Linked DNA regions of Canis lupus familiaris. The protein of the gene in region 2 interacts with the protein of the main gene of each other region in a biochemical or structural test. Links are inferred from orthologs where the notes say so. Each region holds a gene or a part of one and is shown on either strand. Other genes may lie near its edges. The genes, in order: SEC13 and SEC31A.

Evidence for each region.
Region 1: the proteins of SEC31A (region 2) and SEC13 form a complex in vitro, tested with the Homo sapiens proteins (2 studies listed by BioGRID and IntAct, with this or other methods). The link is inferred for Canis lupus familiaris from reciprocal best matches to the Homo sapiens genes SEC31A and SEC13.

The regions. Positions count from the first base shown.
Region 1 is NC_049241.1:8,129,872-8,139,603, reverse strand, and holds part of SEC13 (protein SEC13 homolog), read right to left. Parts: intron 5,154-9,732; coding exon 5,020-5,153; intron 4,592-5,019; coding exon 4,468-4,591; intron 3,587-4,467; coding exon 3,440-3,586; intron 1-3,439. UniProt on the Homo sapiens protein: Functions as a component of the nuclear pore complex (NPC) and the COPII coat. At the endoplasmic reticulum, SEC13 is involved in the biogenesis of COPII-coated vesicles.
Region 2 is NC_049253.1:33,159,790-33,170,254, reverse strand, and holds the start of SEC31A (protein transport protein Sec31A), read right to left. Parts: upstream 5,856-10,465; 5' UTR 5,711-5,855; intron 1-5,710. UniProt on the Homo sapiens protein: Component of the coat protein complex II (COPII) which promotes the formation of transport vesicles from the endoplasmic reticulum (ER).

The DNA.
Region 1 (9,732 bases), on a different chromosome or scaffold from region 2:
TAACTTATCACTCACTGGGGAAATGCAAATCAAAACCACAGTAAGAAAGATTTCAACCTCACACATGTTAGAATGGCCATCATCAAAGAGATAAAAACACAAGCACTGGCAAGGATGTGGGGAAAAGGGAACTCTTGTGCACAGCTGGTGGGACTATAAACTGGCACAGCTGCTATGGAAAACAGTATGGAGGATCCTCAAAAAATTAAAAATATTACTGTATGATCCACCAATTCAACTTCTAGATATTTATCTGAAGAAAATGAAAACCCTACCTTGGAAATATCTGCACCTCTATTTCACAGTACCATTACTTATAATAGCCAAGACATGGAAATGACCTAAATGTCTACCGACAGATAAATGGATAAAGAAGTTATGGTACATATATCCAATGGAATATTATTCAGGCACAAAAAATGAAATATTTGAGACCACATGCGTGGACTTTTTTTTTTTTTTTTTTAAAGATTTTATTTATTCATTCATGAGAGACACACAGAGGCAGAGACACAAACAGAGGGAGAAGCAGGCTCCATGCAGGGAGCCCAACGTGGGACTCGATCCCAGGTCTCCAGGATCACGCCCCGGGCTGAAGGTGGCGCTAAACCACTGAGTCACCCAGGGTGCCCACATGCGTGGACTTTGAGGGCATTATGCTAAATGAAATAAGAGAAAGATCAACACTATATATCTCATTTATATGTAGAGTCTAAAAACAAAACCGAAAACACTCATAAAAGATCCAAAACCAATCACAGAAGAGTTCAGATTTGTAGTTAGCAGAGCTGGGGGTGGAGGGTCAAGAGGTACACACTTGGAGTCCTAAGACATGGAAGTACTAGGGATGTAATGACAATAGCTCACACCACTATACGGTCTATATGAAAACTGTGAGAGACTAAATACTGTGAGATGAGAGGAGTTCTCATCACAAGGAAAAACTTTTTTGCTTTCTCTTTTATTGTACCTATATGAAATGATGGATGCTAAACTTACTGTGATCATTTCACAGTATATGTAGGTCAAACCATTATGCTATACACTTTCAACTTATGATGTAAGTCTATTATATTTCAATAAAACTGGAAAAAGAATATTTTAAAAAATAAAAACAGTGGAGAGGGGGCAGTGTTGGAAATAATTCTGTAACACAAAGTAACAGTAATAGTAGTAATAAATAATAATGTGAACAGGAATGTCGTTTTAACCAAGTTGCTGTAACTTCTGTGAGGATACAGGGGAAGAGAACAATGGTTCTCAAAGCGTGGTCTCTAGACCAAGACATCTGCAGGACCAAGAACTTGTGAAAACCACAAATTCTTGGGTCCTCACCCAGCTGAAATTCAGAAGCTCTGGGGTGGGCTTGGCAATCTATGTTTTAACAAGTTTAATACTAAAGTCTGAGAAGTATGCTAGAGGAAGATGACAGATGAGTATGTTATTTCTACACTGAAATAAGCAGCAGAAGAAATGCTAAGCATCGAAAAGGTTTGCTCCTGGAGAATGAAAATTAGGAAACTACATTAATAAATCATAACCTAATAAAAACTACTTAAGCTATGTACATGTATTTGATTAAAAAAAAATTTTAAGAATTTCTGCTTTATTTATTTATTTTAAAAAAGATTTATTTATTCATGAGAGACACACAGAGAGAGGCAGAGACACAGGCAGAGGGAGAAGCAGGCTCCATGCAGTGAGCCTGACATGAGACTCAATCCCAGGTCTCCAGGATCAGGCCCTTGGCTGAAGGTGGCACTAAACCGCTGAGCAACCGGGGCTGCCCAAGAATTTCTGCTTTAGAGACAGATTGTTGACTACAGATGCACTGCACAGAATGCTCTAGACTGAAAATCTACCAAGTCCTTTAGTGAAGGAATAAATACTATGCAAACAATAGAGGTGAGCTCCTTGTAGGAAATAGGCTGATAAAGATCAAGAAGTGCAAAAGAATAATGATAGCAGACTGCAAACACGGAAAGTACAACCAGGCACTCCCTACTGCCTTGTAAACACTACAGTAGGGCTGCTCCTCAGTCAAGTCAGGGTCTGTTGGCCTGTTCTGGGTGCCATCAAATCTGGGGTCTAGTCCTGGCTCAGGCACTTACTAGAAATAAAAAGAGGGCTAGTTTTCTTTGAGGGTCACTCTAGCTCTAAAATTCTATGGCTTTAAGACAGGGCCTGCTAGATCTTTCTGGAATCACTACACATGAAAGGTATCCCCAGCCTGGATAAAAACTGCCTGCAGAGGATCTCAAAGGTGTGTTACTTGTACACCCATGTGCACAGCATTACTGATAAGAGCCAAAGGTGAAGCACCCCAGGGTCCCTCTATGTATGTATGGATAAATACAATGTGGCAGAACAGAGTATGATTCAGTCTTGAAACAGACACGTGGTACAACAAAGATGAGAACACTATAGGATTCCACTTACAGGAGGTCCCTAGGGCAAATTAACAGAGGCATGAAGTAGGAATGGTGCTTACCAGGGATAGGGGTGGGTGGGGGTTAGTGTCCAGTGAGGACAGAGTTTCAGCTGGGAAAGACGAACAGTTTAGAGGTGGATGGTAGGTGATGGCTGCACAATAATGTGAATGTTCTCCAAACTACTGAACTATACACTTAAAAATGGCTAAGATGGGGAAACTTTATACGTATTTGGTCATGATTAAAAAAGCTGCCTTCAGAAAGGAAGAGGTAACAAGTCACTGCCATCTCTCTAGCTGACCCCTCTCCTCTTAGGCAGAAGATCTGTAACTTTATACGGCAGGGTTCAATGAAGTGGTCAGAATTTTTCAAGTGCATTTGCTTTGTTGCTATAATGTTCCTGAGCTACTTTTTGTTTTACTGTTTTCCAGTGGCCACTTTGTCTCCATGTCTCTCTTCCTTTGTACGGCTCATAGTGCAGAAAAGGTATACATACAGTGGGTGAATAATAATACCCATGAATTACACAGATTTTTAGAAATATGCCTCTTTGGTGTCTGACAAAAACCTTCAATCTTTATGCTTTTGTTTATGAGATTTTTTTTTAATCTATTAACTTTTGAGCAGTGCTAACTGAATGTCATCATGAAGACAAGGTGGTAAAATGGTGACAGTGATGGACTACCAGGGCAGTGGGTTTGGATTTAACTTGGGCCTGATTACAAACTCTTCCACCTAATAGCTTTGTGGCCCCTCTGCAAGTCTAACTACCACTGTCAGCTTCTTTCATATTTGCAAAAGGGGGGGACAAACCACCTCGGGACAGTAGGTGGAGGGGGGAAGGGCAGGGGATTGTAAGATTTAATGATATATTTAAGAGATGTGCTCAAAACAGTCTTCATTAAGGCTCCTTCGAAGCCTAACCTTATATGGAGAATTCAACTGCACTTTTTAGTGGGTGAAGACAAACAAAGCCCTGACCACCATGTCATGGAAATGGACTGTACCTTATTGTCTCCGCCCGAGACAGCCAGGATGTTGGCTGTGATAGACCAGCTCACATGCCACACAACATCATTGAACTTGTGCAACAGTTTGGGTGACCATGTATTGCCTGAGGTGTCATCACAAGTCCAGATGAACACACGACCGTCCTGGGAAAAGACAGGTTAGAATCAGGGAAGGTAAGGCAAGGATCTTGAACTGGGGATATCCTCTCTATTTAGAGCCATATTGGACTTTTGCAGGAATGAGGTGGGATTTAGCACAATGCACAGCCAAGACCGTCCTGGGTGTGCACAGATGTGATGGCCAATTTCCAGCCCAGCATTATCCCTTTACCCCAGGAACATATTTTACATTGGTTGTGTCTCCCAGGTTCTTGTGCTCATACTGGTTTCAGGTATGAACTTTATATGGCTAACTCTAAAATGTTCTCTAGGTTTTCCTCATGTCTGCCAAATCATCTCGTTTTGCCTTTGGCTCTAATTTTCTCAACCCAAGGGGTATGGCTGTCTATAAACCAAGCTCAGAGAATGAGAAGGGACAAGTTTAAAAAGTCCTCAAATTTAGAACCAAACATAACAGGCTCAAGTGAAGCCTGGCTAACCTTTGTCTATGGTGGAGTTAGCATATAATTTAAGGCTTGTCCTTGGTTTTTCCTTTGTGATCTGTCTGTGAAGACTGATCTAGGTGAGCCCAAGATCCTAGGACTTCCAACTATCCTGGTCCCTGCTTGGGAACACTCTCAGAATGCACCTGGGCAGCTCTCTTCACCAGCTGCATAATGCTGAGGGGAAACTGGTCTGGAGTTGGCCCAACTCATAGCTCAGTGGAGGTAAGCCACTTGTGCCTTCTGATCAAGCCTTCTCCACAAGATGACCTGGCTCCTAGCACTGTCCTACTTGCACTAGTCCAGAGGTGCCTGTTGCCTTGCCCTTACCTTTTTAGACTTTACCTTAGGGGGACTGTAATGGTCGATGGGACTTACTCAGAGATTAAACAACACGGGAAGCTCTCATGGATCTGAGCTGACCTGGGAGCAACTGGCGATGGTGCTGGTAGGCAAGCCAATGGAGGGGGCCCAGGCCACATCTCGAACCCAGTCACTGTGCGCTTCTAGTTTCTGTTCCTCCTTCCACTGGCCATCCTCCTCCTCCCTAACAGAGGAGACAGAAAGGGAAAATGCAGCAGCAGGTAGCAGCCCAGGTGTGTTTCCCACACCTCCATTGTACCCCCACCCTGTAGGCTCTGCAGGGGCCAAGAAGCTATTCCATCTTTTTGATTTCATTCCTTGACCTTGTAGATTTTTACTCAGTTCATCAGCTATAGAAGAATATTCCACGAAATGCTGTTTGTCCACAGCCAATGGCTCCAAGAATTGGGAATCAGGTAAAGAATTAAAGTACTTGAGCAAGGCCAAGTTGTTTTTAAAGGATGTCCTCTGACAGACTGAAAACCGTATTCTGTAGGCAGGAGGGGAAAAGAAGGGGATCCCATTTCTTCAGAACTGTGGCTGAGTCACAGTAGATAGCAGGGTAGAAGGTAAGAAGTGTCCCCTTGAGGGAAGTCCACCACACCCACTTACTTCCACAGTTTGATGAGGTTGTCACAGCCACCCGAAGCAAACTTCTTGATGTAGTTGGGCTTCTGTCCCGATGGCTGGTCTATAAGGCTTCCAGGTACAACAGCAGGGGCCCAACTGACGGCGTTGCAGCCAATCTGTGAGGAAAGGGTTGGGGTGACTGCCCTTTAGCCCTGCAGCAAAGCCCTGCTTCTGCAGACTCAAAGCTGCAGTGTATCCCCCTCCAATTCTCAGGACAGGATTATGCAGGACCACTGTTTTGTTTTGTTAAGGATTAGCCCCCATAATGCTCCTTCAAGGAGTCCTAACAGTACATGTATTTTTTTTTTAATTTTTATTTATTTATGATAGTCACAGAGAGAGAGAGAGGGAGGCAGAGACACAGGCAGAGGGAGAAGCAGGCTCCATGCACCGGGAGCCCGAGGTGGGATTCGATCCCGGATCTCCAGGATCGCGCCCTGGGCCAAAGACAGGCGCCAAACCGCTGCGCCACCCAGGGATCCCAGTACATGTATTTTTCAGCAATATACATTTAAAGTAGGAGTTAGGGACTCCCCAGGAATTTTTAAAGAAACAGAACATTAAAAAAATATAGGAACAGAAAGCACAGGTTCAGAAAAACATGCAAAGTTTAATGAAGTACTACTCTAAAGCACTCTTGTAACCACTACCAGTTCAAGATATCAAATTGCCATTTACCCTGGAAGCCCTGTCATTATGTCCCACCTGAGTCATAGCCATTCTTCCTTGGCAACATTTTCCTGACTTCTGATTTCTTCCTTTTTTTTCCCCTTCAGTTTTGTCACCCAAATATGCATCCCTAGATACTATACTGTCTCACCATTTAAATTTTTTAATTTAATTTTATTTTAAAGATTTTATTTATTTATTTATTAATGAGAGACACAGAGAGACAAAGAGGCAGAGACACAGGCAGAGGGAGAGGCAGGCTCCATGCAGGGAGGCCTACGCGGGACTCGATCCCAGGTCTCCAGGATCACGACCTGGGCTGAAGGCAGGCGCCAAACCGCTGAGCCACCCAGGGATCCCCAATTTTTTATTGAAAAATTTTTTTTACATCTCCTTATTTATAGATTCCCCCTAATCTTTTTTTTTCCTTACCATTTTTTTGTTGAAGAAAGACCAGTCATCTGACTTATAGACTCTCAGGCTGATTTGCTATTTCACACTCAGACCTCTGAATTCCTAAAAATTGTCAGCTGGATCGCAGACTGGGTCAGAGTCAAGTTTGACTCCTTTGTTAAGACTGCAGGCAGTAGGATGCCTGGGTGGCTCAGTGGCTGAGCCTCAGCCTTTGGCTCAGGGTGTGATCCCAGAGTTCCTCGATTGATCGATCGATCGTATAAGGCTCCCTGTGCGGGGCCTGCTTCTCCCCTCTGCCGGTGTCTCTGCCTCTCTCATGAATAAATACATAAAATCTTCTAAAAATATTAAAAAAACACTACAGGCAGTAAATTATTCTTACATTGGGAGACAAATGACATCAGGTTGTCTTTTTATGGTATTAGTACCTATGAACAATTTATGCCTCTTTTAATTCATTGGACATTACAAAATGGTGATATTATATTCATTTCTTTGTTATTTATTATATAGAATAATCTAGACAGGGGAGATCTCCCTCATTCATATTTGGCTCCCCATGGGTACAGATCAGATTGGAAATGTAGGATAAATGTTTGACACATTCTTCAAGGATGAATGATTCTATTATTTTTTATTTTTAAAAATATTTTGTTTGAGAAAATGAACAAGAGAACAAGCAGGAAGTGTGGTAGGCAGGAAGCAGGAAGCCTGATGTGAGACCTGCTGCTCTGGGATCCCAAGACCCTGGGATCATGACCTGAGATGGAGGCAGATGACTGAGCCACCCTGATTCTCTTTATAAACTCATGGTTTTAAGCATATTTGATGGGTTTCAGTTCACTGCAATTATTCTTATTTTTGACACCTAACTGTAGTACGTGTTCAAATTGGCTCCTCTGACTTAACTATATCAAAATATGTCTTTGATCATTTCTGTTAGAGGTATCACAAAATGTCCCAGGCTTATTTCATACATTTCCTGCCTCAGACCTAAGATCAGCCAGTTCCTCAAGAATTAGGGTTTCTTTTAGTGAGGAACTATATTTCAAGACTATAATCTGGTGCTAGGGATGCTCACTGCCACATAATTATTTTATCTCATTTCATATTCAACAGTCTCAGTTACTGCCAATACAATAAGTCTAAACATTTAAAAAAATGTTTGCAGTGTTCTCCCCATTCTCTGCCATAGGTTTTTTTTTTTTTTTTTTTTTTTTGGGAAGGAGCAGGGTGTTTAGTGTATGGTTACCAACATTAAAAGATCCTAGATCTCCAGCTCTGCATGTGCCCACTTTAAAGAAAAAAAAAAAAAAAAAAGATTTATTTATTGAGAGAGAGCATGCAAGTGGGGCGAGGGGGAGAGGGAGAGAGAGAACTTCAAACATACTCTGCTGAGCACAGAGCCTGATGCAGGGCTTGATCTTACCACCCTGAGATCATGACCTAAAAAAGCTGAAATCAAGAGTCTAACCCTTAACCAAGTGAACCACCCAAAGCCCCATGCCCACTTTTTAAACAGCTGCCTGATACCTTAACAGAGCATATAGCTATACTCTGCCTTATAACCCTCATTTAGTCTTAGTTCTCTACAGTTAACTATATTTGATGTCTTTCTAGTCATTTTTGTTGTCTGAAGCTTATTCTCTAGTAGATACCTCAGAAAGTGCTCATGGAAACAATAGTTTTTGAGTTCTTGCATAGCAGTAACAGTCTGTTTCTTTCTACTCCAAAATAAAATTTTAAGAACAGCTTTGAGGTATTATTGACATTCATTGCTCATAAACCGCACAATCTAATGAGCTCTGGCATTGGTATACCCTGTAAAATTACCACTATAATCAAGATAAAAAACATGTCTCAAAGTGATGAAAGAAAAAAACTTCCAACCAAGAGTACTCTACCCACGGAAGTTATTCAGAATTGAAGGAGAGCTTTCCAAACAAGCAAATAATGAATGGAACTCATGACCACTAAGCTTGCTTTACAAGAAATGTGAAAGCAGGTGGTGTCTGGATGGCATTCAGTTGGTTAAGCATTTGCCTTTAGCTCAGGTCATGATCTCAGGGTCCTGGGATCAAGCCCTACGTTGGGCTCTCTGCTCAGTGGAGAGTCTGCTTCTCCCTCTCCCTCTGCCCTTCCCCCCCAATCTGTGCTTTATCTCTGTTCTCTCTTTTTCAAATAATCTTTGGGGAAAAAAAGGGAAATGATAAAGGGTATTCTTTAAGTTGAAAAGAAAAGGTGCTTATTAATAACAGGAAAACATATGAAAGTAGAAAACTCACCAGTTAAGGTAAATATGTAGTAAAAGTACTGGCCTAATCACAAATAAAGCTAATATGAAGATTAAAAGACAAAAGTAGTAAAAATAACTACGACTATAATAATTAGTTAAGGGATATGCAAGATAAAAAGATGCAAAATTTGACCTCAGAAACATAAAATATGGGTGGAGAGTAAAAATGCATTCATGCATAAGTTCTTGCCAACTTCAAATAGACTGTTATATATTATAAATAAATATCAGCCTCATGGTAACCATAAAGCAAATGCCTACAGTAGATACACAAAAGATGAGAAAGGAATCTAAGCAGACCAAGAAAGGAACATAAACGGGGGCACCTGGGTGGCTCAGCAGTTGTATGCCTGCCTTCGGCTCAGGGCATGATCCCAGGGTCCCAGGATTGAGTCCCACATCAGGCTTCCCGCGTGGAGCCTGCTTCTCCTTCTGCCTGTGTCTCTCATCAATAAATAAATAAAATCTTTTTTTTTTTTAAAGGAAGAAACAAAGAAACTATAAAACAGAGAACAATTAATAAGAATGGCAATAAGTACATACCTATCAATAATTACTTTAAATGTAAATGGTCTAAATGCTCTAATCAAAAGACAAAGGGTGAATGGATGAAAAAACAAGACCCATCTACCTGCCACCTAAAAGAGATTCACTTCACACCTAATGACACATAAGGGCAAACTGAAAGAACTGGAAGAAGATATTCCATGCAAATGGAGGGGGAAAAAAAGCTGGAGTAGCAATGCTCAGGTCAGAATAGATCTCAAGCTGATCAAGGGTTGGATGCTTAAATGGCTGAGCCACCCAGGCGCCCTGAGAACAAACTTTAAAACAAAGACTGCAACAAGAGACAAAAAAGGGCATTACATAATGATAAAGGGATTAATTAAAAAAAATGAATAAATATAAACACATGGAAACTAAACAACCAACAGATCAATGAAAAAAATCAAAGGAATAAAGAGAAAAATGAAAATGGAAACATAAAGGTTCACAATCTTTGAGATGCAGCAAAACGAATTCTAAGAGGAGAATTTATTGTGATAGTCTACCGTGAGAAAGAAGAAAAATCTTAATCTAAACCTTTCACCTAAAGGAACTAGAAGAACAAAACAAGCCCAAGAGTAGTAGAAGGAAACAATACAGATCAGAAAGGAAATAAAATAGAGATGAAAACAACAGAAAAGATCAGTGAAAGAGTGGTTTCTTCCAAAAGATAAAAAAAATTGGTAAATCTCTGGCCAGACTCAAGATAGGACTCAAATAAAATGAGAAATGAAAAAAAAAATTAAAAAAAAGTAAAAAAAGTAAAAAAT
Region 2 (10,465 bases):
TACACATTTTATTCTTTCTTCTTTATTCCTACTTTTGTTTTAGTTTCAGGTCTGTAGTTAAATATATTTAAAGCCCTCCAACATTTCTTTTGCCAGCTTTCTTACTCATCTCTAGAGGATGAAGGTCATGTTCCAATAGCTTCCTTAAGAAAGCCTTAAGTCTATGTATATCTAATGTAAGTTTATTTAAGTCTAATATGCCCTATGCTTTACATGTTCCAATTGTTTATACTTGAGATAATAAAAATGAAGGCACAGAAAGATTAATAATTTGTACATGCTAGCGAGGGGCAGAGCCAAGATTTGTTTTGTTTTTATTTTTATTTTTTTTAAATATCTTATTTATTTATTCATAAGAGATACAGAGAGAGAGAAAGGCAGAGACACAGGCAGAGGGAGAAGCAGGTTACATGCAGGGTGCTCGACATGGGACTCGATTCCAGGTCTCCAGGATCATACCCTGGGCAGAAGGCGGCACCAAACCGCTGAGCCACCAGGGCTGCCCCTGTTTTGTTTTTAAAGATTTTATTTATTTATTCATGAGAGACAGAGAGAGAGAAAGAGAGAGAGAGAGAGAGAGGGAGAGAGAGAGAGGGAGAGAGGCAGAGACACAGGCAGAGGAGCAGGCTCCATGCAGGGAACCTGACATGGGACTCGATTCCGGGACTCCAGGATCATACCCTGGGCAGAAGGTGGCACCAAACCGCTGAGCCACCAGGGCTGCCCCTGTTTTGTTTTTAAAGATTTTATTTATTTATTCATGAGAGACAGAGAGAGAGAAAGAGAGAGAGAGAGAGGGAGAGAGAGAGAGGGAGAGAGGCAGAGACACAGGCAGAGGAGCAGGCTCCATGCAGGGAACCTGACATGGGACTCGATTCCGGGACTCCAGGATCACGCTCTGGGCTGAAGGCAGGCGCTAAACCACTGAGCCACCTGGGCTGCCCCCAGAGCCAAGATTTGAACTCAGAAGTTTACTTTCAGAGTCTAATCTCTTGTTACCCCAACAAATTCAGGTATTTTAATCATAGAACACATCCTAACATTTAGAAGAAATAATAACAAAGCAACTAGGATTCATGGGGACACTAAGAGAAGAAGAAATGGGGGCACCTGGGTGGTTCTTTCAGTTATGCATCTGCCTTGGGCTCAGGTCATGATTGGGATGGAGCCCCACCCCACATCTGTTTGGCTCCCATTCAGCCAGGAGTCTGCTTCTCCCTCTCCCTCTGCTCATGCGCTCTCTCTCTCTCTCTCTCAAATAAATAAATGAAATCTTTAAAAAGAAGAAATGTATTTTAGAAACTGTGCTAGGTTAGGCAAAAGTGGATTAAGGAGGTTCGATCATGTGGTTAAAAGTAATAGGCCTCTGGAGTCAATGCTGGATCTGAATATTGGCTCTGCTACTTATTATGATACACTAGACACATTGTTTAACCTCCCTAAGTCCCATTTGTAAAATGAAGATAAGAGTCACTACCTCATGGGATGTTCTGAAGTTTAAATGAGATAATGTATTTTATATAGGGCCAAACTCAGTGTCCAGCACATAGGTTAACATGGGCTTTAATATGCTATTTTTTAAAATTATTACAAGCATGAGATTAATCAAGAAAACTACACATCTAGTTTCCTAAGGCTGTTCTGAAAAAAGAGGGAAAATCTCAATTTTCTAAGAAGCGAAAAAGCCTTTAAATGAAATGCTCTCTTTTCTCAGCCAACTATTTTTATTAAGAAGTTCAAATTCCAGCTACTTTCAGAGAAGTACCCTAATGATCCAATCCACAATGATCTAAATTATCTCTTAACTGTTTGGACCACTTTAAATATTTTATAATAAAGTGTCTTATTCTAATTTAACAAAACTTTATAACATTCTATTAGTACACACTGTTACATATTTTTCCATTGCCTTTTTATAACCACCTGTTTTATGTCATCGTCTCATTAACTTGACAAATAATGTCCTTTTTTTATTTTAAGGATTATTTATTTATTCATGAGAGAGAGAGAGAGAGAGAGAGAGAGAGAGGCAGAAACACAAGCAGTGAGAGAAGCAGACTCCTCGCAGAGAGCCTGATGGGGGACTCCAACCTCGGACTGAGGATCACGCCCTGAGCCAAAGGCAGACGCTCAACCACTGAGCCACCCAGGCGTCCCTAATGTCTTTTTTTCAATTAAATATTACAACTTTTACCCTTTGTGGAATCAAAATTGCTTAGCTCACAGTAAGGTATAGAAAAAGTTTTGCTTGTTTTATTTTGAATGTTTATATTTAGGGAAATATAAAAAGACTGATGAGCTGGAAAGATCACTTTCAGGTAAAACATTTAATTTTTTAATTCTTAAGTGTTTAAAGGAAAAATAATTTTAATCACTTTAAGTTTTCTTATTTAAAAAATAGGGGAAAGTATCATTAAAGGAAAAAGAGGTTTTAAAAAAATGCTTTAGAAAAAAATGCTTTAGAATAATTTCTAAAAGTGAAAACAAAATATCTATATATATTTTTAAAAAACCCAACTGAACAGAACTATACTATATCTAAGAGCAAAGGTACATTAAAGGTTACCTAATTCATGAACACTTAGTTAATGTGTAACATTTACTGAAAGAGAGAGAGACAAATTCACAAGTACATAAAATGGTTAAGTGGGAATACAAAACATTTATAAAAGTCTTATTTCTTGTCCTTAGCACTCAATGTTCCACTAAATGCAGTTGCACTTATTAAGTTGTACTGAACATAAGACTTCAATACCAACTGTTGTTGTTGTTGTTGTTTAAAATCACTACAATAATGGCCTGGAGCTATGTTAAGTGGTCTGAATTTAATTAAAGAGTAGTAATTTTGTCCATTGCAATCATTCTCAAAACACTAAGAATACTATGGAAATACCGCCTGTGTATTCTCTTAGAAATGATCATTTAGTTGTAACTAATTTTCTTGAAAATCTGAAGGTTTAGATTAAACCATGTGTACTTCCCAAGTATGACATGCTTCAAAAGCCTTGTGCAATTTTTTTCAATATCATATATGATTAGAATTTACACTATGCAGACTTATTTAAGACTATTTTACACAGAACAAAATCATTATGATAACACAAAAATAAAACTGCTAGGACAGTGGCTTGTTCACATGTCATCTACAAGACAATATTTATAGCACAGCAATCTAGGATATGGAGTCTGGAGCCATACCCTCAGTTTAAATCCCAGCTCCACCTTGTCCTAGCTCTGATATGCTCTAAAAGGCATGTATCTTTACCTATGTGTGTCTTGGCTACCCACTTGGTAAAATAAGTATAACAAAAGTCTGCATAAGAAGAGTTGCTGTGGGACGCCTGGGTGGCTCAGTGGCTGAGTGTCTGCCTTCCACTCAGGGCATGATCCCAGAGTCATGGGATCAAGTCCCACATAGGGCTCCTTGCTGGGAGCCTGCTTCTCCCTCTGCCTGTGTCTCTGCCTCTCTCTGACATGAATAAATAAATAAAATCTTAAAAAAAAAAAAAAAGAGTTGTGAGAATTAAATGAGGCATTACGCAGAGGGCTTAGAACAGTAGCTGGCACATAGTAAATACATGCTTGTAAATATCAGCTATGGCAAAAGTCACAATTTAAAATTTTAGTTTATCACAATGAATCTCCAAGAATACCTCTACTGAAGGGGCACCTGGGTGGCTCAGTCGGTTAGTGTCCAACTCTTGGTTTTGGTTCAGGTCTTGATCTCTTGAGATCAAGCCCCACATAGGGCTCAATGCTGAGTGGGGAGGTGGCTTGGGATTCTCTCTCTCCCTCTGCTCCTCCTCCACTGCTTGCTCTGTGTTCTTTCTCTCTCAAATAAATAAATAAATCTTTTTTTAAAAAAAAAATACATCTATTGAAGAAAACTTATTTGCCAGTCTAGAACTTATTTTTTCACCCAAGTTTCTCCCCACAACATGCATGTAGTTAAATGCATGCTATTAAGTGGAAGCTTTTTCCTTTTTGCTCGTTTTTTAACTGCTAATTCTGTAAAGCAGTACTAAAACCTAACAGTTCTATTGTCTGAAAAATACCAAACTTACACTGCTACATATAGAGATGACTCATAACTCAGAAAGTAAAAAGTGGAAGAGTTAATAGAATTGCAAACTCTGACTCTCAAAAAATCCCTAGTTGGCACTGCATTTGGTAAAAATCCATCTTGTGTGGGCAAGTATCTTATCATGGATGGGCACATTTGTTCTAGAGTATTTATTTACTGTTACTGATGTTCTAGACTCATCTCACTCAACCAAAATCAAATCAAAGAACTAACTGCGTTGAACTAAATGCTGGTGTATTTATCTAGAATCTAAGAAGTAAAACTTTTTGACCTGAAATTAACCTAAGAATGACAACATTTCTGAAAACACTGTAAAAATCAATTTTAATAATATCACCTGACAAGAATTAATTTGGGATCTGTAAACCTCATGAAATTATATAGAGAATTCTGTGTGTGTGTGCATTTTTCTAGGAAGGTGATCCAATGCTTTCATCAGATCCTAAAAAGGGAGTGGAATTCCAAAAAGTCAAGAATCACTGCTCTTTCTAATTTCTTTCTACTTTTATGTTATTATTATAAATTATATATTATTGTTTCAAAAAGAACCTGCTTATATAAAATTAAGCAGTCTAATTCTAAATTCATTCCAATCTCACATTCCCCAAATAACTTTGGACATGTATAACATAAATTCACAACTACAAAAACACTTCAAGTTACCCAAAAATTCTTAGTCTACAAACCTTTCCCAGAGCTGTTTAAGAAACAGTAAGAAACAAAGAGCACAGAGGAACCACTAGAAACCTGTGAGTAAACTTTAGCCAATCCCAGAACAATCAGTATGTACAGAAAACAAGGGTCGGTATGAGAAGAGCGAGGCTCTAATTATCTACTGAACAGCTACAAGTGGCGACAGTCAAATTTCAGCATTCTGTAGTTAGAAAAGGCAGTTTTGGGGAGAGGATTTAGCACAGATCATCACTGCAGTTTCACAAAGACCTACATAAAATTAGTTGCTTGGTAAAGTTCATAATGCCCACAAGCCCATGCCATATTTTTATTCGTTTTCCACCTGCCCTGTAATTTAATCTCTCATTACAATAACTTATTAGCAAAAACATACAACACTTAATGAGATTTCCTTCGAGGTGTATATAGGCTTAGGTTGGCGACTATCCTTAAAATAATCCAATCCCGGTTCAATGCCAGTAGCCTTCCGTTGAAAACCTATGAACCCTTTTATCTGGCAACAGTTCAAATACAAACAAAAAATCATAAACTAAATAAAGTCAACCAAAGTGATCCCGAGGCTCGCGTCCTTCCCTCCGCCTCGGGGCCCGCACCTCTTTGTGCACAAGGGTGTGAGTGCGAGGGGCTTCTAACCTCGGACCCCAGTTACCCGCCCGGCACGACCCCCCGTCGCAAGCCTCAGGGGAGCTCCTGCTCAGCAGGGGAAACGTTGGCGGACGTGGATCGGCGCGATCCCCGCAGCAGCCGTGACGCCAGGCTTGTCCCGACGGGCCCGAAACCAAGACCAGGGGCGCGCCGCCACCGCAGACCGGGCCTCAGGCTGGCGGGGACCCGCGGCGGCCGATGCCGCGCACCCAGCTTTCGCCGGTGCTCTACCTCACGGCCCGAGGGCCGGCGAAGAAGACGGGGGGGGGGGGGGGGAGGCGGACACACCTGGCGGGGACCCTCGGCGACCGGTTCCTGTGTTAGCGCGACGTCCGTCGGACTCTCCCAGCATTCGCCGCCGCCCCTCCTCCCGCCCCAGGGCCACCTCCACGTTCCGCTTCAACGTGGCAGCCGCAGCCCCTCCCAGCCGGCCGGCCGCTTCCGGGAGCGACGCCTCGCCCGGCCCACTGAGGCGCGCCGCCTGCCACGGCACTTCCGGGAGCGGCGCAGGCGGCGTCCCGGGCCTGGGTGCGCGCTGAAGGCCGGCGGCGGGCCGGCTCGCGGCGGGGCCTGGAGACCTGCTCTGAGGGACGGCGTGCACGGCCAGGGTGCGGTGACCGGGGTAGGCGAGAAACAAAAGTCTGGCCGGGTGTAGCGGTCGGCTGAAGAACGGCCCGGGCCCGCAGAACGCCACGTAGCGCTAGTCCTGTGAGACGGCGGCGGCCGGCGACCCGGCGACCCTGCCAGCACCGGACAAATCGCGTGAAAATCGGGCTGCGGGGCCCTAATTGCAGTAACTAATTTGCGATTCGCTTTTTAAAATTGCATAGTTGGTTCTACAGTATTATTGCTTTTTTTTTGAGAACTTCTTTAAAGCCAAATGGGCTCGTCAGTCTGTTGTGGACGTATTTGTTCCTCCAGAGGCGTGGCCCGGTTAGTTTAGCATCGTGTGGCACGGTTTGAGATCTACGAAGGTTTGCCCGTACGTCACTGGCACTCCACTAGCTCTGCCAGACCCTGGCATCTAATTAATCTATTGCTTGGATGTTGTTCTTGGTTTAGGAATTGTTTTGCAGCAAAGAAGGGAAAACCAGAGGAAAAACACTTGGTAAACGATCAGAACTTGGATTGAACCCGGGTCTTCCTGCTAGAGCAATTCTCTTCCCATTATTACGCCCATCAAGGTCTCTTTCCTCAAGCTTTCTCTAAAGCGCCTTCACTTCTAACTATTAGAATGTTTGCACTCCCACTACATTTTTTTGAACACCTTTTAATGTCTTATACTTGTTCAATTTGAAAAGCCAAGTTTATTTCTCTAGGACAATTAATAGACTAAACATCACTTAGGCTACAGTAGCTAATTTCTCCTGTTCTACAAAGCCATTTTTATTTAACTGCAAGTTTGCCTAGAGATACCAATAAAAAAGTCTTAAAAGTGGGCTCATGGGCAGCCCCAGTGGCGCAGTGGTTTTAGCGCCACCTTTGGCCCAGGGCCTGATCTTGGAGACTTGGGATCGAGTCCCACGTCGGGCTCCCTGCATGGAGCCTGCCTCTCTTTCTCTGTCTCTATGAATAAATAGTCTTTATAAAAAATAAAAGTGGTCTCATTATTTGTCAATACTAAACTCCCTACTGCCCCAACCTCCAGAGACCCCCTACTACCCAGAAGCATACATTGGTATGGAGAAAGTTTTCATTTGAAAAACTTCACCAAAACGCAATGATTCAAGCAGTAGTTATATTCTTTGGTATCATTTAATGTACATGTTGCTATTAGAGAAGTCAAACTACAAACCTCCCTGCTCCCCATCCCCATTTGTAGGCTCTGTGAGGTTAAGAATGGTATTCCATGAAATGTTTCATAACTGGAACACAGCCACTTTCAGTGATTTATGTATTGTCAATGGCTGTTTTCCTGCTACATGGGCAAAGTTGACTAGTTGCTACAGAGACTATAATAGTCTGCAAAGCCTAAAGTATTTCCTGTATGGCCTTTTAAGTTTGCCAACTCCTATTAGGATTTTACTTACAATCCTTTAATACTCAAAATCAAATGAGACCGTACTATAAATTTCAAAGCCTTGACATAGTAGCATACAAAGGCATTGTGAAAAATGTCCATTGTAACTGGTGATCATAAAGGTAAAGTGTATTTGTGTCTAGACTTAATCTGTTCATAACTGGTTAGAGTTCCTAGCTTGGTGTAAATGCAGGGAGCTCTTACTTGGACTATGCAAACTGACACTTAAAAGCAATGTTAATGGGATTAACAATGATTGTTCTGTAAACCTGAAAGTTATTAAAACATTAAAAACTCTCTTGATGTTAGTTATACACATTAAAAATATTTAAAACAGGGACACCTGGAGTGGCTCAGTGGTTGAGTGTCTGCCTTTGGCTCAGGGCATGATCCTGGGGTCCAGAGATCCAGTTCCACATGGGGCTCCCTGCAGGGAGCCTGCTTTTCCCTCTCCCTATGTCTCTCTCTCATGAATAAATAAATAAAATCTTTAAAAAATAAAAATTAAAACATTTAAAACAAACATTGAAAATTATAGCATTTTATTTATTAAAGTCTCAAGAATAGTTTTAATATTGCTTGCCTTCTCATATAACTTACAATATGGAGCAAGCATCTTTTCTACACCTTGGCAAATTGTCATACTCCTTTCAACTGAGTTTGGATTTGCCTCTAAAATTTATGCATTCAATGTCATCAAATAGGAGTGTTCCTTTAATGTGGTTTTTCACCTGCCATCACTTCCTCTGAAACATATTGATCCTTTACAACACACAACTGCTTTCGTCATTTATAACAATGTTCGCCTTCACTAAATTCTTCTGGCTGTATATGTAGAACTACTTCTTGATTGGCAGCAGTGTCAACATTCCCATGGTCATCTGTATCTTCTAGAACTCCAACTGCATTCCAGCCAAACCTTGTGAAGTTTTTACATAGTAGTCTTGCACTACTGTGCAAAGCAAAGACTACCTGTGATTCTTGGAATATGGGTGCAAATTTCACAGATGCTTCTCTGAGCTTGCAGCTTCACCAGATAGCAGAACATTAATCAATTCATGCTGACTTTGTAAACAATGAAACCAGCCTTTATTATTAGAAGGCAATAAGATGTTCTTTTTCAGTCTACTTGTAGTTACCATTTTCCTTCAGTGCAGCAACTAACCTCAACACTTTGGCCTGAATACTAGCCAAACTGACTGGGATTTATTTTTACAGTCCTCAATCCAAAGGAGAAGTAAACATTCCATTTCAACCATACATGCCTTTCTGTTCCTAGTATAATTTAAACTAAAAAATCTTAAAGCATTTTACCTAAAAGTTCTTGCTTCATCGAACTTTAAAAAGATGGTTCATTTTATAGCTTCATGTAAGCCCAGGTCTTATCTTGTCTTCACTATGCTGTCACCATTTTCAAATCTTCTAATGACATCCAATTTCATTTCTGGTGTTAAAACTTTTTCTTTGCTGCCCAGTCATCTTTGTTGACCAATTCTGTCACATGGGTTTATCACTGGGAAACAAGTAGGCAACATAACTACATGCTTTACTCTGCGTGTGAACTATTAGATGTTCAGTGATCAACCACCAAGAGACTTTGAAAGAAGCGACATAAGTGTTTACTGACCATCTTTTATATGCATAATCTTTTGTGGAATAAAGAGCTATCTGCAAAACTTATGCAACAATCTGGTTACTATCGCGGTAACTGAAATTTCAATCATGTTGTAGAGGGATTGGTGTTATTTAACTCAACTGTGAAAACTGATCTTCAAGTAACTGGAAACAGTGCAAAGTAAGGACTACCTGTATTTAAAAAGAAGAACTTGTATTAGTTCACGGAACAGCCAACTTTTAATCCAATCTAACTACTAACCAAAGCTAGCCATAGATAAAAAACAAAAACTGAATTACTCATTGGAGCTGGAAAAATGTTTGAAGACAATGTAATACAAAATTCTTCATATTAGGATTTGCAGACAGTCCAAAGATATCCTTTTCAGAGTTTAGGCCCCCTTTCCTCATTTCAATAATCTTGAGTTCTGCAAAAGAGTAAAGTCCTGGACAAATCTAATATTGTCCAGATTATAAAACTTTACAATTCTCACAAGGCACAAGGCTGTATGTGTATATAACTTATTCCATACGAGCCAGCACTATGTTTACTTCTGTGTAACAGTAGCATCCATCCCATTAATTTTTTAATTTTGTTTTTGAATGCACTTATTTGTAAATATTTTCATTAAGGCCTATAAAAAAAGTTTTTATCAATTTTATGTTGGTAGAAATTTATGAAATAATGAATTTAAATCAACATTGAGTAGTTGTAAAAATTTTTCTATTTAATATTCCTCAAATTTGTAACACCCCAAGACAACATGCCTAATTAGTGACAGATTAATGTGGTATTAGATTTGAGATTCCCAGCTTTTGACTACCTATGTACGTATCTACTATTCTTGAATAAAGCTTAAGTTATAGGATGGATGTTCACTGGCATATTAAAGAGTCATTTATAGAACATCCAAAAGTTAAGCAAACTTAAACCCTGGAATATATGATATCTAGTTTCATATATTCTAATAGCCCCTATCTATTTCAGGGGCTGAATTACATCATTATTTTTGAGAAAAGATGACCATCAAGGTTACAAGTCCTGACCCCAGCTACCAATTGCCTACCCTGAATCAAATCTATTGATTTAGAAAATTATATCATCTTTGAAAGCTGAAAGCATAAGGAAAAAAAAATTGAGTACGATATTCACATTATGCTCAAATATCAACTGTTTGCTAAGATCTGATTTTCTGTTCATCAAATTAACCTCTTACCTTTCTATAAAAATGTTCACTGTTTATCAAATCTGACACGTGATGTTAAGAAAACCGCCCTTCAATTTCATTTCTAAAAGGAAAAACATTATTAAATCAACATACAAAAACTACATCTGTGCTTTTCTTCTCCCACTATGATTTTCTTTTTCCATTATGTCCTCATCCACATACATTAATCACAACAAATCA